Caenorhabditis elegans: one gene and its partner. The protein of the gene in region 1 interacts with the protein of each later gene in a pairwise test. Each region holds a gene or a part of one and is shown in the gene's direction. Other genes may lie near its edges.

The links. Proteins that work in one complex are often made in the same cells at the same time.
Region 2: the proteins of abu-11 (region 1) and pdhb-1 interact in a two-hybrid assay, tested with the Caenorhabditis elegans proteins (one large-scale study listed by BioGRID).

Annotation. Positions count from the first base shown.
Region 1 is NC_003280.10:190,231-198,128, reverse strand, and holds abu-11 (Activated in Blocked Unfolded protein response), read left to right. Parts: upstream 1-3,570; 5' UTR 3,571-3,594; coding exon 3,595-3,669; intron 3,670-4,314; coding exon 4,315-4,533; intron 4,534-4,581; coding exon 4,582-5,151; intron 5,152-5,213; coding exon 5,214-5,537; 3' UTR 5,538-5,620; downstream 5,621-7,898. Other genes in the region: chs-2 (chitin synthase), read right to left, coding at 123-311, 1,058-1,144; T01D1.8 (ZP domain-containing protein), read right to left, coding at 6,090-6,197, 6,670-6,789, 6,836-7,043.
Region 2 is NC_003282.8:3,396,764-3,406,060, forward strand, and holds pdhb-1 (Pyruvate dehydrogenase E1 component subunit beta, mitochondrial), read left to right. Parts: upstream 1-2,908; 5' UTR 2,909-2,924; coding exon 2,925-2,994; intron 2,995-3,124; coding exon 3,125-3,310; intron 3,311-3,845; coding exon 3,846-3,976; intron 3,977-4,666; coding exon 4,667-4,844; intron 4,845-5,485; coding exon 5,486-5,867; intron 5,868-6,810; coding exon 6,811-6,922; 3' UTR 6,923-7,140; downstream 7,141-9,297. Other genes in the region: dyf-3 (Clusterin-associated protein 1 homolog), read right to left, coding at 274-455, 504-559, 609-757, 804-974, 1,420-1,620, 1,677-1,935, 2,027-2,138, 2,339-2,360. UniProt on the Caenorhabditis elegans protein: The pyruvate dehydrogenase complex catalyzes the overall conversion of pyruvate to acetyl-CoA and CO(2).

The DNA of each region.
Region 1 (7,898 bases):
ACAAGCGCCGTTATTGCAGAGAAACTGAAACCACTTGTCGTTTAGACAAGCTTTATCAGAATGATCTTCATGTATCTGGTCGCAACTGTATATCCTAGAACAAAAATTGTTGAAGAACTTACCCTGACTCTCCTTTTTGGCTCTTCATATTCTTTATCCTCTTCCTTCTTTGCTACCTCTTGGGAACTGGAATAGTGTTGCTCTTCTTCATCCTTGACTCCAGATTCCTCAATTTGGGTTTCAATTTTTCGAAATCTAACCGTCTCCGAAGAATCTTCAAGGCCAAGAAGCGCATATCCGTAGAGGGATACCTGTAAAATGTGAATTATCATTGTGAAAACTCAAATTCAAAATCAGATTTAGTTGCATTCGATTCGACACAAAATTGATGCTGAAGAACATATGATTTTTAAACCAAAATTTTATAATTTTCAAAAAAAAATTATTTATATTTAAAAAACTAGATAAGTAAATGGAGTTACAAACAATATGTGCCTATTGCCCTCCAGAAATGGTTGGTTGGCTATATTTACGGCCAGGTGTTATCGATTCATTATAGATTTGTTTTTGCCCACTTTTTAGTCAGACACTCTAGTTTGCATTCCTGACTAATTGTTTCATTTTACAAAAAAAAAAAACTCTAAAAAATTCTTATTTTACCACACCACTTAAGAAAAATATTTAAAACACTGAATTTTTCAATTTCCGACTCGGAAATTTTTTTAATCTGAATTTTTTTTTCATCCACTAAAACAGTGAAAAAAAAAACCATCACGGGATTTTTCCAAAAAAAAAAATTCCAAAAAACTTCCAGAATACTTGTCTACCTCGAAACAGCTTAAAAATCATAGTAATTTTTGAAAAATTATCATTTGCGGCAATTTAACGGGCCTCTAAAGTAGTGAAAAAAAGCAATTTCAGAGCGACTTTTATTCTGTTCAAAGTGCTCCTCTGCCGCTAAAAGTTTTGTGGGGGCCTAGAAAATAATGATGCGCTTTTATGAAATAAACTTTAATTACAGAATGTGAAGGAAATAAATGTAGAAAAAACAACTAACCAAATGATCGAGAGGGACCTGGGCTCCAGTATGTGAGTCCTGAACCCACTCCTCCACAAACTCCTTTTCCTTATTACCACTGTCCATCCTAGCACGTCATACTATGGCAAAATATGAAACTGAGCCTCACAAGGTCTCTGCCCATCGGCGATTTCCCCCTATTCAAAACCCATTTCTTCTCACTTTTCATGTTGTATTTGCCTCCCAAACAATTAGTTGTTGTAGCTGTCATTGAATGACCTGCGGGTGCCTGTGAGCACCGGTTTTCAGGCAGACAGGATTGTATTCTATTAGTGAGTAGACGAAAAGGAAGAAACAACGTCTGATTACGTAGGCAACGACCAAGCATCGATACATTATTCAAGGATCAGAAAATCAAGCTCAATTGTTTTGGAAATTTTTAAACATCACTTTTTGAAACTGTCTACCTCTTGGACTACACGTTGAGGTGCCAAAAATTAATTTCGGAAAAAAATCACAATAGCTAAAACCTAAATTTGGCTTTTTTTTCTCAGAAAGTTGATAAACATATTATGTGTGAAACTTCTTTCAAATATTATATTTGAATCAGGGATGGGCGGCAAACGATTTTTTCCGGCAAATTGCTAAATTGCCGGAATTGAAATTTTTGGCAAATCGGCAAACTAGCAAATTGCCGGAATTGAAAATTTTCAGCAAACCAGTCAACCGGCAATTTACCGATTTTCCGAATTTGTCGACAAAAAAACTTCCGAACGGCAATTGCCGCCCGCCCCTAATTTGAAAAGTTTTTGTATAATACGGTTCGACAGCCGTACACATTTTTTGTTGTGTAGCTCTCAAATACACGCTGTGATTTGAGAATCCATGCATCTGATCTTTTGCAGAGTCTTCCTATCGAAAAGAGCAAATTTCTCAGTACCCCTTGATCTTTTGTAGAACTGCTCATTCACAGCATCTAATCCCCCCACACGTCTTAACATAATTAGCATTCCTACATTAGCTACTACATGTGTTGATTATTTGTCTAACAAGATAGAGATAGTGTATACATACTTCCGCTCTCATAAAGACCGGTCATTTTCCGTGCTCATTCTCACTCTCGCAATGTTCTTCCCACACCCTTGATCCTAAGGAAACATGCTCCTCAAGAATAATCTCTTGAAAAGCGTGAGCGATTGTGGTAACAAAAAATCATGAGTATCAATGAAAACAATTCAACGGAATTTGGATTTGGGTGGGTGTGAAGGCGCTGTAAAAAAATGTAATATGAATTTAAGACCTCTATCTGCAAAAAGGTACAATGTAATTTTACAAAGTATTCAAGGTTTCCCTTGAAATAATTTTATAAAAACATTCGTACTAAATATCGAAAACTGCACCAAAACTATTTGCCGAGTGGATTTATCAGTTTCCCGCAATATTGGCAAGACTATCAGGTTATATGATATGATATTAGTATGAGTGCACCTCCACAAGAGTAAAGATGCAATGACTAAGATCAAAAAATTCCATTCCGCTTTGAGCACAAAAAAGATTCAGCGCTGGTAAACTAGTTCTCACCAAGTTTAGAACATCAAACAATTGACGCAATTTGTAGGTCATAGACTGGCAGGTTTTTGATGTTTTACATGACAAGTTTGAGAATAATGAAAGCAATCTTCATACATTTTAATAACTTTTTAAAGAGTTTTTAACTGATATCTTCCTAGAGCAACAAAAACAGCTTATATTTGCAAACATAACCATTTAAAGTTGAAAATGATACTTTTGCCATTGGGTTTTGAATTTGTCAAAATCTTGTTATTAATTTATTTTACTCATGTAGTTTCTAGAAAACATGTCATTCGTCCTGAAACCCCATGGAGCATACGTTATTGTCCTGTCAGAATGTTATTACGTAATATATTACTCATGACATTTACACCATATACAAAAATCTATTTATTTGCAAATATGTTCCATGATTATTTTCTGAGCAACAACAATTATATCATAGTCTAGACTTCACAGGGATAATTAATGTTGTTGGGAAGAAAAGTAAGAACTTTAGAAATGGTGATTGACCGAGTGAACTCTCAAATATCTATTTTTGTCTTTGTAATAACTCTATGAGTAATGAGGAATGAGGAACTGAATTTGTGACTGCAAATTAATCAGAAAGATTATTTAAAGAAGAAAGATATTTTGCTGTAGTTTGTGATGGCTGCTGAAAGACCACCGGAAGACTTTTGACATCGACCAAGTCCTGAAAGATCACGTCCCTCCAGTTCTTCAACTGTAACCCTTGTGAATACTAGAAAGTAAAAAACAAAAAAATAACAACATGTCAACATAACAACACGCCCTCCCCCTCTTGCTCTGCTCTTCCAAACACATGAGCACACACACACACAGGCACACGCAAAAAATTTGGAGACGCATCACTCGAAGAAACCGGAATTTGGGACAGAGGTGGTAGTAGAGGAGAGGGGGCGATGTTTAACTGATTGCAACGGGAAGATATATAAGCAAGAGCATGTATTGGGACAATCATCACTCACTCTGACAAGCTTGAAATGAACACCAAATTTTCAATTCTCTTTTCGCTTTTGGCGGTTTCAGCACTTGCGGTGGCTGCTGAGGAGAATGTGGTATGTATTATTTTTATGAATCTAATTATAAATATTTCATTTGTTCCCCTTTTCTAACTCTTATATTATAAATACTTATTTTTTAATTTTAAAACATTTCGTGCTCACTCACAAGCAATTGCATAACTTGAATATGAATTAAGTAAAATATAGGAACTTCTTAATATATGTTTCAAATAGTTTATCGTTTGACTTCATTATTTTACTACTGAAAATTTAGCAACAGGGGAGTATTTTGAGCTGCAAAAAAGTCGTTCTGAAAAGTTTTCAATGAATTTTTCACAACTTTCGAACTATCGAGGGCAGTAAAAATGTGCCAAGTGTGAATTTTTGCTGACTTTCAAGAGCTTCTAGCATGTTTAGGAGCTGGCTAACAATCGTAAATTTTTTTGGAATTTTTAATTTTTTGAAAAAATCTGAAATTTTTTCACTCAAGGGGTTTTTCTGATTTTCAATTTTACGGGCTTCTAAAGTAATAAAAAAAATACACTAATAGCAACTTCAGATCGAAATTTTTCTAGTTCTAAGTTCTCCTCTGCCGCTTAATTTTTTTTGCAAGGGCCTATTTAGAAGGTTTTTTGCAAATGAGATATTATCCAGAAGACTAAAAAATTAAGTTGAAAAATTAAGTCGTTCCTTTTTCAGTTCCTCCGCGCTCGTCGCCAATCTTCATGTGGATGCGCCATTCCAGCTGCTCCACAATGCAACTGCCAACCAGCTCAAACCAACACCGCCCAACAATCTTGCTCCTGCGCTCAAGCTCAACAGCCATCAAGCTGCGGATGCGCTCAACAGTATCAGCAACAACAGTGTGCACCAACTTGTCAGAGCTCCTGTGAACAGAGCTGTGTTGCCCAGCAACAGGTTAGTCAAACCAAATTCAACCCAGTTAGCCATTTCATATTATTTAAGCCAATCGCCCAGTGCCAATCATCTTGCTCTTCCACTTGCCAGTCCGCATGCGCTCAGCCAGTTCAGCTTCAGCAGCCAGCTCAGCAACAGTGCCAACAAGATTGTCAAGCTGCTTGCCCACAACAACAACAACCACAGCAACAGTGCCAGCAGCAATGCCAGACGACATGTCAATCCGATGATCAGTACTCTCAACAATTGATCCAACAGCAAACCTACGCTCAGCCAGGACAAATCCCAGCCTACACCGGAAGATCCGAGTACAATACTGCCCCACCACAACAGCAACAAGCCAGTCAATGCAATACCTGCCAAAACTCGTGCCTTAACACATGCCAGCAGCAACAGCAGCCAGTGCAACAGTGCCAATCATCATGTGATCAATCGTGCCAGCCACAATGTGCCACGCCATCTGGCTCCGCTTACAACCAAGTCAACTACCAGCCACAGGCCCAGAACAACTACCAAACCAACAACAACTACCAACAGCCAGGAGCCATTCCATCATACCAAGGAGCTTCCCAGACTGCTGCACCAACCTACCAGCCATACAGAGACACCAATGTTCAGGTAACATATTAATAGTATTACTTCTAAATCTAGATTTAAAGAAATCCAACCTAAATTTGTAGGTCGGAGGAACCATCTCCCAGTGCAACACTTGCCAAACCCAGTGCAACCAGGAATGCCAAGTCCAGCAGACCCCAGTGAACCAGTGCGCTCCACAATGCGACGCTCAATGCCAGCCAGCCTGCTCCCCAGCTGCTCCAGCAGCTCCAGTTCAAACGCAACAACAAATTCAGCTTACCATCAATGTTCCAGTTGCTCGTCAGTCCCCACAGTGTCAGCCACAATGTGAGCAAAGCTGCAACACCCAATGCATTCAGCAACAGCAACCAATCTCGCAGTGTCAGCCAGCTTGTCAGCAGAGTTGTTCGGCTTCCTGCAGAAAGTAAATTAACTTTAATTATTAATTTTTGGGAAAAAATAACTTTGTGATGGTTTTTTGTGTATATTTTGATAAATAAATTGTTTTCTACATATGTTCATCTCCTGCATCATACATCTTCACTAAATATTTTATCATTATTATTCCCTCTTGGGATGATAATTACAGAGAAATTTCTAGAATAGAAAAATTTATGAATCATTCAGTCATGTAAATTTTAGCTTTCAATCTCTATAATCTGCGGAACATCTATCTTCTTTTTTTTCTTTTCCACTCAATTTCTGAAACTGAAGTTTTACCACAAAAGCTAAACCCACCAATTACGTGTTATATTTGAAAAGCGGTAAGAAACTTAAAATAATGAACGGTCATCAAGGGTGTTACCTGCGTCAATAAGGGTTTTCGGTGTTTAATTCCAGTCTTTTGGGAATATTAGTTGTTATAGATTTTGACACAAAAAACCTCCACGCAATAATAATTAAACATTTCGTACATAAATCCTGCGTGTGAAACTTTTTGAAAAATTTTATTAGACAAAATGTTTTATTCATATCATATCTCAATTTAAATATCTCGAAAATCGTCGTTGGTTTCCACATCGAGGCCTCTGACACTGTTCATGGTCCTTGAACAGCATTTTTATATTGCATGTGAAATGAACAGCCGTCTGAGATTTTAGAAGTGATATTTTCCACACGATTCTTAAAGGTAGAGTAGCGTCAGTGGGGAGAGTGTTAAAAACTACTCATTTTATAGCAAAATGACCAAATACCATAATAAAACTTTTCAAAAATTTTTAAAGAATTTTTTGTTTACTGTCAAAAAGTGGCAATTACTCAGTTTTTTCATTTGCCACTCATAGTTTTGAAAGTCGACCAAAATTTGTTTCCTACATTCTTTATACTGTAATTTTGTCTTGGTTATTCGTCTTGAAACATTATAGAACGTCGGAAGATGCGACATTGCCTTAGATTTCCTCAAAATCTTTTTTTTTTTTGAATAGGGAAATTTGCCAAAACTTTGACCGGAAATTATGAAAATCTAAAATTTGTTGAGTGTTTTATTATGATATTCGGTGGTTTTGGGTTATTATAACTGTAGACAAAATTCCCACTGGTGCTATTCCACTTTTAACTTACCGTGTCCACATCCAATGCGAACGCGTGAACCTTAATTCCAGCTGATAAATCTCCTTGATATGATATATCGGGTAGAATGTTTGGGAACACCGAACACCCATTCTCGTCGATTATTTGAATCTTTAAATGATACTCTACTATTGAGTTGTTATCGACCTGCTCTTACCTTCCTTGTTCCTATTTCTTCCTCCCCGCTGTCTGAAATCGTGCAATTATTGACCATCACACAGAACAAGTAGTTTTTGTGATCGCCACTATAATTACAATTCCACGAGTGATAAATTTCATCTCCAATGTTCACTTTTGATGTCACAATTCGTCCAAGTTTGTCTGATCCATGATGTACACTGTACTTGCATTCTGGTTCAGGAAACCTACAACGATGGTTCAAAAAGAAATAAATTGAATGTTTTATGTTTTTCCTGATTTCAAAGACGATATCAATCCCTCCGCAATTGCCATACGGCAATTTTTTTGTCGACAATTTCGGCGAATTCGGCAAATGTTTTGCCGATTTGCAAGAAATTTAGAATTCCAACAATTTGCCGGTTTGCCAATGTGCCGGAAATTTTTATTCTTGACAAATTGCCGATTCGCCGTTTGCCGGACATCAGTTTTGCCGAAAATGTTCAGAGGAACTTTTTCTCTCTTGAACAGTGCTTTTTTTAAAATTTTTCCTCGTATTCTTTAGATATTTTCGTAGAACTTGTTTTTTTTTTTCAAAAAACTCCCCAGTTTCTCGTGCAACTCAATTCTCAAAGGAAAAATAGTCAGTCCATTATCTTAATTCAATATTGTTCAAATCCTTATCTAGTAACTCCATACGCACACATCTATCGCTTCTAGCCTCATAGCCATCAATTATGATTTTCAGATATTCTTCTCGTTTATGACTATTTTTCTGCGTTTTCGTGTGTGTCGAATGTCTGCTAATAAAACCCCTTGATTTGTTACCGCTGTGCTGAAATTTTTGGGCGGAGTCTGCTGCTGTGCCACCTCTACCCTATGAGCTTCATTAGGCTTGTCGACGACACATTAAGCTTTACTTTTCGAGTGTCTATAAAAATATTTTATGCGCAAACTTCTAGCTTTTGTCAGAAATCTAACAAATGCCGATTATTGTTCTTACACGTACTCCCCAATTAGTCTAGCGAAGTTTGTCTGATGTTTGCTACCAAATATATACAAACCACACTTCCTTAAAAGACAAAGGCTCGCCGATTTGAGAA
Region 2 (9,297 bases), on another chromosome or scaffold:
TACGACCAGGCAAAGCTTAAGGCCAGAAATCGCGGGAAACTTAATTTTCACTGGAGTGACGTCACAGCCTTTTTTCTGAAGCTCATACACCGACAGGGTGTTGTTGGCCTGTCTGCGGGGTACGGTAGGTTGCCGTCACAGGAGGCATTTGTAAAAAATGTGACGTCACAACGCATCCTAGTGGAAGTTTCTGAACTTCCAAAGATCTAGCAGCTAAATCCACCTGACCATGAGGAGACGATCATCTACCCTCCCAAGCACCTTATCACTCACCCCGACCATATAATCCGCCTCGCTTCTCTCCTCATCCTCCTCCTGCCGATGAAGTTCTCTCTTGTGATGCTGCGCGACATTATCATCCATCCTGATGATCTCATCATCCTCGTCATCCTCATCGTCCTCATCATCATCAGAGGCATCACCACCCATCATGTTACCGTACACCTTGCGAACAGCTGGAAATGGTTAATAAACCTGTGGAGCTGATAGAACTTAACACTTACACTGCCTCCTGTCCACCAAGGGGGCGTCGGAGCCGTCGTCGTCGTGGAGTCCGATGCTGAAATAAGGATGTCAGTCGGAAGTTCTAAACTTCCATGAAAACTCACGCATCCTTCTTCTCCTGCTCCAGCCGCATTTTCTCAACGGCCATCCTCATCGCCTTCTCCAGCTCCTCCTGCCGTTGCCGCTCGGACCTCGCCAAGTCATCATGAACTTTTCGCAGATAGGACAGGTTGCGGAAGTTCAGCACGTAGACCTGGAAGCTTAGGCTTCACAGGGCAGCTCGGTATCCGGTGTCTTACCTCATAAAGTTTCTTCAGTCGCTCCTCAAACCGCTCGTACTCGTCCATATACTGAGGTCGGAAGGACTGTAGCTTTGCGAATCTTTTTTGCAACTGCTCGTACTCTCGCTTCTTTCGCTCTATCTTCTCGTCGAGCTCTGCCTCATCGCTGGCCACGTTGTTCAGCTTGTTCTGAAAATTTGAGAGGTTAGCTGGGGAGCCTGCACCTAACCTAATTGTAAGTGACTCAGACCCTCCGGGCTTTAAGAACAATCACGTGGGTTCGAGTGGAGTGGGTGTTGCTTCAAGCCAGTTAGGCTAATTCAGTCTATTCCTTCAGCTCCAAGATCCTCAGCGGACTCCTCGAGGCTAGGGGTCTCTGAGCTTCTGGAGAAGATGCACAGGCCCGGTCTAGTGGCTTGAAGCCCTGCATATACCACTAGAGTTCAGGTAATGAAGCTTCAAAGTCTGAATCAAAGTTCAAGTCACTCTTTGACCAAGCCCACGCCATTAGAAGAAGTCCAAGCTTTTTACTGTCCGCTTCACAATCAGGATCGAGCCAGGCCAATCTCTCAAACTCTAAGACGCCAGAGCTCAAACCTACGCCACCAGGAGCTCCGTGACCCGTCAAGCTTACCGATAGCTGCTCAGTCTCCTGAGCGATGTTCTGCACTGTTGCCTGCAGCACCTTCTCGGCCTCAGCAAGTGGTACCGCCCGTGACGCGGCTCTCTCGTGTTGCTGAGATATGAACTCCTGCCGGGACAGCAGCTCACTGAGCAGGGCACCTGTTTCCGGGAGTTGTGATGATAGCTGACGAGTGATTCGGACCTCCTGCATCTGAACTTTCGACAGTTTTTTCAGGCTTTTTCAGGCTGGTGGCCTGTGAGACCCACCTTCGACGAGAGCTTATTCTTGACTTGGGTCCATTTTGGCGAGTTATCAGTGTTCGGGTCCTCTGCCTTGGCCTGGTAGAGGATCTTCATGGCCGGTAGGAGTTCCTGCACCGCATGACCATCAGCCTGGTACAACTTTTTTGGATTCATCTTGATTCTCGAATTTTGGAGCATCAGGAGTACCGCGTTCTTGATGAAAGCGACCCGATCAGCTTCTGTTTGGACTTCGTGTGCGTCAAGGTTGGATTCGGGCTCAAATCTGGAATTTTTGGGCTTAGAGTAGGCTTGGAAGTTAGTGGCCAAAGTTTCTATATTTTTCGGCCAACGATTTTTTTCACTGGGAAACTAACTTTTTCACGATCCATTCCAGCAATTCAGCCACCAGCTGAAAATTTGGGGTCCGGAAATTCTCAATTGACATCAAGCGAGGGTATCGGAGGCTTCGCGTCATCTCACACAGGTCTGAAGTTGGCGAAATTTGGGACTAGAATCCGAACTCGGCCATGATTTTGTAAAATTCAATTTTAAGTGTATTTTGGGTCTTTTTTTTGCGTTTTATGGTTTAGAAACATTTCTCACCTAGATTTTAATGCAACACTTATTTTTTCCATATGAAAATCTCAAAGTTCAAATTTAAAATTAAAAAAGCCTTAAAAACTTACTTCTCAGCTCACGATACGACATTTTTCGTGCAGAATTCAATTGAAACTTCTCTTCTCAACAATTGCCTGCCTATTCCCCCATTCAATATTTCCTCCGTTCCCATAGAAACTCCCTGCAAACACCCCAAAGACTACGGTCGACGAGCTTCTGCAGCTCAACCGGCGTTTTGTACGCAAACACCGCGACGCCATATTGCACACATTTTTCGAGAGGAGCGCCGCGCGCATTTTCTCCGAGTTTTGTTTGCTTTTTTGCGCATCTTTCATTGATTTTTTATTAAAATCGGGGGAAATATGGTTTAAATTATCGATTTCCGCCTGTTTTAGTGGTGAAAATGTGAAAAATCGTAGTGAAAAACCCTAGAAACCAGTAAAATTCTATTTGGAAGGGTTTTGGTCTAAATTTTGAGTTTTTAGCATTAAAACAATATGCTCAGCAGAAAAACTAATGAAAATGTGAGAATTTTGAATCAAAATACCTAAATTTTTTAAAAAATCCTAGTTTTTCTCTATTTTTCTCAAAATTTCCGGCAAAAGCCTCAAAATTTCAATTAATTTCCGGTTTTTCAGGTAATCCCCGGTCGAAATGGCTCTGAGAAAGTGTGGAAACCTGTTCGTGGCTCGTCTCGCTGGCACCTCGACCAGAGCGGCTTCCAGTGAGTAGAAATTGCAAAAAATGAATGGAAAAAAAACGAAAAAATCGCTGATTACCGGCTAAAAATGAAGAATTGAACGGAAAAAACGAATTTTAACCTAAAAAAGCATAAAAATCGCCAATTTTTTCAGCAATGACCGTCCGTGACGCCCTAAATCAGGCTATGGACGAGGAAATCAAACGTGACGACCGAGTTTTCCTGATGGGAGAAGAAGTTGCTCAGTACGACGGAGCTTACAAGATTTCCAAGGGATTGTGGAAGAAGCACGGTGATAAGCGAGTCGTCGACACTCCAATTACTGAAATGGGATTCGCTGGTACGGGAAATCACGCTGGAAATCGAGAAAAATCGAGAAATGTTGACTCGGAACGTCAAAATCACTAATAAATCCCCAAAAACAGCACCATTTTTTCGAAAAGAAAGTGTCCAAATTTACTTTAATTTTGGATCTTTTCTCTCAAAAGTTCAGTTTTTACACTAAAAATTGGATTTTTCGAACAAATTTCGGAAATTTTCCTAAAAACAATTAATTTTCGGCATTTTTTATTGAAAATTTCAATATTCACTGCAAAAAGCTCGGAAATTACGGAGTTTTGATATTTTTCGCAGAAAATTCCGGTTTTATCAAAATTTTGTCGAAAATTAAGCTGAAAAATCACATTTTTTATATAAAAATCAGATTTTTCCCAATGTTATTTGCAGAAAAGCTCTAAGACCGCGCAAATTCAATTTTTCAGCAAAAATTGTCTAAAAAGCTCGAATTTTCGCATTTTTCTCGATTTATTCAATTTTTAGCAAAATTTTTTCAGAAAAAACTGAAAATTCCTCCAAAAAAATCACATTTTTTTCAGGAATCGCCGTCGGTGCTGCCTTCGCCGGGCTCCGTCCAATTTGCGAGTTCATGACATTCAATTTTTCCATGCAAGCCATCGATCAGATTATTAATTCAGCCGCAAAAACATATTATATGTCCGCCGGAAGGGTACGGTCTTGGCAATGTGCCACGTTTTCTGGAAATTGCGATTTTCAGCGAAAAAATAGCCGAAAAATTGAAGATTTTCACCAAATTTTTGACTAATTCGTGAGAAATCACGCTTTCTGCTATTTTTAGAACGAAATTCCTCGGTTTACACTGATTTTTCAGGAAAAAGTCAATTTCTGATACAAAAAATGCGATTTTTCTAGATTTTTGACTGAAAATCAGGGTTTTTCTGAAATTTCTACACAAATTTTACCTCAACAGAGCTGATTTTAGCTTTAAAATCCGATTTTTCTCGACTTTTCACTGAAAATTTCATTTTTTCAGCCATTTTCGTTGAATTTATGCTGAAAAATCATGTTTTTCACATGGTCTCACGCCATTTTGATAAGAAAAAATTTGTAAAAATCATCAACTGATAAGAATTCTTATCACTGAACACTTTCTGATCAGTGAATTTTATCAGAAATTGGAAATTTTTTTTCGGAAAATCGGTCCAAAACTGAGAAAATATAGGGAATTTATAACTTTTAAAGTTTTTTTTTCTTGTTTTTTTTTCTGAAAACACCGCTTTTCCAAGAAAAATACCGGAGAAAATGATATTTATAAAATCATTGAAGAAACATTTGAAAACGAAAATTGTAGAGATTTTGTAATATCTGAAGAAAAAAATCGAGAAAATTTATTTTCCAGGTACCCGTCCCAATCGTATTCCGTGGACCAAATGGAGCCGCCGCCGGAGTTGCTGCTCAGCATTCTCAAGACTTTTCAGCTTGGTATGCTCATTGTCCAGGACTGAAGGTTGTCTGTCCGTACAGTGCTGAAGATGCGAAGGGACTCCTGAAAGCTGCGATTCGTGACGATAATCCGGGTACTTGTCGCGAAAATTGGAGATTTTCGATGCAAAATTCAGATTTTCCAGAAAATTTCAGTCAACAACCGTGACAACTGGAAAACTTCTGATATTTTCGAAATTTTAGGATCAAATTAAGCGGTTTCTTGAAATTTTCCGGGTTACTGTAGCTCCAAAAGTACGCAAACACCATATTTTACGAAATTGGGAGCTTTTTGGCTGAAAATTTCAGTTTAGACTGATTAAAAGGTGGCAAATTTGAATTTTTAATTCATTTTTTGAGTTTTTAACGATTTTCTTGTGAAAAATGGTTTTCCGAACACCAATGTTTGCGTGCTTTTGACGCTACAGTAACCCCGAATCAAAAAATCGGCGCTATTTTCATCAAAAATTTGAGAAAAGTCGGTTTTTGTTTAGTTTTTTCATTCAAAAATGTTTTTTTTTTACTTTTTTTCCGGAGATTTACATTGTAAAATCTAAATTTCGAAAAATATTGTGCAAATTTAGCAGTTTTTCAGGAAAAAATCCAAAAAAAATTAAAAATTCTATAGGAAAATATCTGAAAACCAGTTTTTTTTCAGTTTTGGCCGAAAATTCTGCGAAAATTTATAATATTCTCCTAAATTCAATTTTTCGGGAAAAATTCGAATTTTTTGCAGTTGTCTTCCTGGAAAACGAGATTCTCTATGGACAATCGTTCCCAGTCGGCGACGAGGTTCTTTCCGATGATTTCGTGGTTCCAATTGGCAAGGCAAAGATCGAAAGAGCTGGTGATCACGTAACAATTGTCTCGTATTCACGTGGAGTTGAATTTTCACTGGAAGCTGCAAAACAGCTTGAAGCTATCGGAGTTTCAGCAGAAGTTATTAATCTTCGCTCACTTCGTCCATTTGATTTCGAATCGATTCGTCAATCAGTTCATAAGACTCATCATTTGGTGTCTGTTGAGACTGGATGGCCATTTGCTGGAATTGGCTCAGAAATTGCTGCTCAAGTTATGGAGAGCGATGTTTTCGATCAACTTGACGCGCCACTTTTGAGGTCCGTAAGAGAAAATTTGCGAAAAATGGCTTAAAATGCTAAAAATTTGATGAATAACTGCTAAGAATGGCACAAAACTTGAAATTTTATCTTTAAAATGTTCCAAATTTGACATTTTCTGAAAAGTTGAAGGAAATACTCGAAATTATCTGAAAATTTTATAATTTCATTACAAAAACAAAAAGGACCCTAAAATATGAGGAAAACAGCTGAAAATTTGTGATTCTTTCGAATTTTTCTTGTTCTTTTTTAAAGAAAAAGCGAAAAATTCGAAAATAGCTCGAAAATCTTCGAAACATGCGAAAAATCGCATAAAATCCTTTAAAATTTTCCAAAACTCCCGAAAAACACTTCAAATTTTTGTAAAAATGATCCAAACCCGAATAAAAACCTCTAAAATGCGAGAAAATGCTCCAAAATCTCAGGAAAAAACCCCCATAGAGCTCATAAATTTCTCAAAATTGCTCCAAAGTTTTAGCAAATTTTCAAAAATCCTTTAAATTCCCCTAAAAAGCTCCAAAATTGCTGAATAATTCCTCGAAAATCTCTGAAAATTTCACAAAAAAGCTCTCAAATTTTAGAAAGTCTTCACAAATTTCCAAAACCTCTGAAAATTGCTTATAAATTTCTCAAAAATGCTCCAAGGTGCTCCAAACAGCCTAAACATCCCGAAAATGCTCCAAATCTGCTCAAAAGTTGCTCCAAAATCTCTGAAAAATTCTATAAAATCTTCAAAAGCCCTCCGCAATCTCACAATACATTGCTCCAAAATTCGCTTTATAAACTCTATACTTTCTCAAACAAGCTCAAAAAATGTTAGAAATTGCTCTAAATTCTCTGAAAAAGCTCCGAATTCGTTAGAAATTTCTACAAAATTCCCTAATAAGCTCCAAAATCCCCCGAAATGCTCTAAATTTCCTAAAAATCTTAAAAAATTTTCCAGAGTCACCGGAGTCGATGTTCCAATGCCATACACTCAAACTTTGGAGGCTGCCGCCCTTCCAACCGCCGAACACGTCGTGAAAGCTGTCAAAAAGAGCCTGAATATCGCATAATTTTCTGTTTTTTTTCGTTAAAAAATCGATTTTTCTCTAATTCTCATGACCCCCGATGCCTTTTTTCCCCTAATTTTTTTTTCAAAATTTTTGGAATTTTTAAAAATTTTTAGAGCTTTTTTTTTCGAGATTTTCCCCATTTTTAGGTACTTTTCCTGTTTTTATGTTCCCCGTTTAATAGTGATTTTAGTGAGTAAAACGAGTAATAAAAGTCCCCTCAATTTCATGTTTTATGGCTCCGCGATTTCCCCGGAGCAGCAAGGTGCTCCTTCTCCGAAATTCGGGAAAAATGCGCATTTTTCCTTTCCACATTTGTCATGCAAATTCGTCGTGTTTTTTGGGAATTTTTTTGGCGCGCGCGCCTTTTTTAGTTTTATATTTGTTTGTTTTTTAGTTTTTTTCTGGAAAAGTTTTTTTTGAAAACACTAATTTTTCAAAGGATTTTCCAAAAATTTTAATTTTTCTCTATTTTTCGCAAAATTCGAGTTTACCTCACCGAGAGCTTTCAAATGAGTATAATCATGACCTGTTTTGCCTGAAATTGAGTTGGGTCTCACCACGAAAATCCCAGGGTTACTGTATTTTTCGTGGCGAGACCCAACGTTTTTTTTCAAGTTCGAGCAATGTATGCCGTGATTATACTTGTTCGAAAGCTCTCAGTGAGCTGAATTCGAAAACACAAAATTTTTTTGAGAAAGTTTAAATTCACTGGGTCTCCCCACGAAAATCTCAGGATTACTATAAATTTCGTGGCGAGACCCACATTTTTTCAACTCCAAGAAAAGTAGGTCATGATTATACTTAAATCAAAGCTCTCGGCGAGCTTTATTTGAAAATACAGGAACTTTTTTATAAAATTGGAATTTGTTGGGTCCCGCCACGAAAACTTATAATTTTTTTTGGAAATATTTCTAAATAGTTTAATTTTTGGGTATTTTACGTCTAAAATTAGCACATTTTTGTAGTTTCAGCTAAAAATAATTTCCGTAACTAGTTTTTCAAAAAAAAATTTTAGGGAAAAAATCGAAAAAAAATAAAGTGTAACAATTTTTTTTGGGAAATTTTTTTTCCAATTTTTTTTCAAAAATTCCCTGACGTGGTCGGCACCCACCGTCACACAATAATAATGCACTCCAAAAATACTTCCATTCAGAAGAAAAAAGCGCTCCCCCAAATAATTTTGTCCTCAAGTGGAGGTTGCGACGATGCCTGGCCTCCGATTTTTGGTGCTCTTCATGAAGAAAGAAGGAAGTTCTAAAAGAATTGAAAGTTCATGTTTTCTTCTAAACTTTTGGCCGGATATATTTTTTGAACTGTTTTTTTTGAACCAAAAAAAAAACTGAAAAAAATCGACATTTTTTGTTTTTTTATAAAAATTTTTAACAAAAAAATCCGAGATTCTGGTCTAGATGCAAAAAACTACAAGCCTGTAGCGTTAGCCTGATTTTTTGGGTTACTGTAGCCCCAAAAGTAAATCGCGGTGTAAACTTCGTGTCAGAATGTCTTATTTCGGCTTGATCTACGTAGATCTACAAAAATGCGGGAGATGAGACGCAGACTTATCAACTGATTTCGTATGGTTAAGAACGTGCCGACGTCACATTTTTTGGGCGAAAAATTCCCGCATTTTTTGTAGAGCAGACCGTGATGGAACAGCCTGGCACCACGTACGTATTTACTAATCGGAAAGTGAAGAATTTGAGTTTTTCAAGAAAAACTGGGTAGGTTTCCACAGTTTTGAAATTTTTAATTAAAGTTTCAAATTTTCAGATAAATTTTTTTCTTGAAAATTTTGTTTCTAAATTTTTTCCACAATCCTTTCTGAAACTTAAATCTGCAGCAACATATGTCCCCACATTTCCCTGTTGAAAATTATTCACTTTTCACGGACCACTGAAGGATGGGAGTCATCATTTCGGAATTTTTAATTTTTTTTTCGCTTTTTTTGATTTCTGAATAGGAATTATGAGAAACTAGAAATTGAGAACTACATTTTATAAAATTTTAATTTTATTTCGTGCACTTTTCTACTTTTTGGTGATTTTTCGACTGAATTTGGGCTTTTCAGTCCATAAAATCAAATTTTTAATAAAAAATTCGAATTCATCGCCTTTCATTTACCCATAATTTTTTAGCCAAAAATCTCCCAATGTCGTAAAATCTGGTGTTTGGCCACCAGTGTTTGCGTACTTTCGGCGCTACAGTACCCTTCAAATTTCAAAACTAAAGCTAGAAACTTCTGGTTTTTTGAGTATGTATTAAAATGAAATGAGAATTTCGAATTTTGGCTAAATGTTACAAAATTCTGTTGATTTTATAAACATTTGAATTTGCCAAAAAAAGTTAGAAAAAATGCCCCGAAACTGGAAAATCAT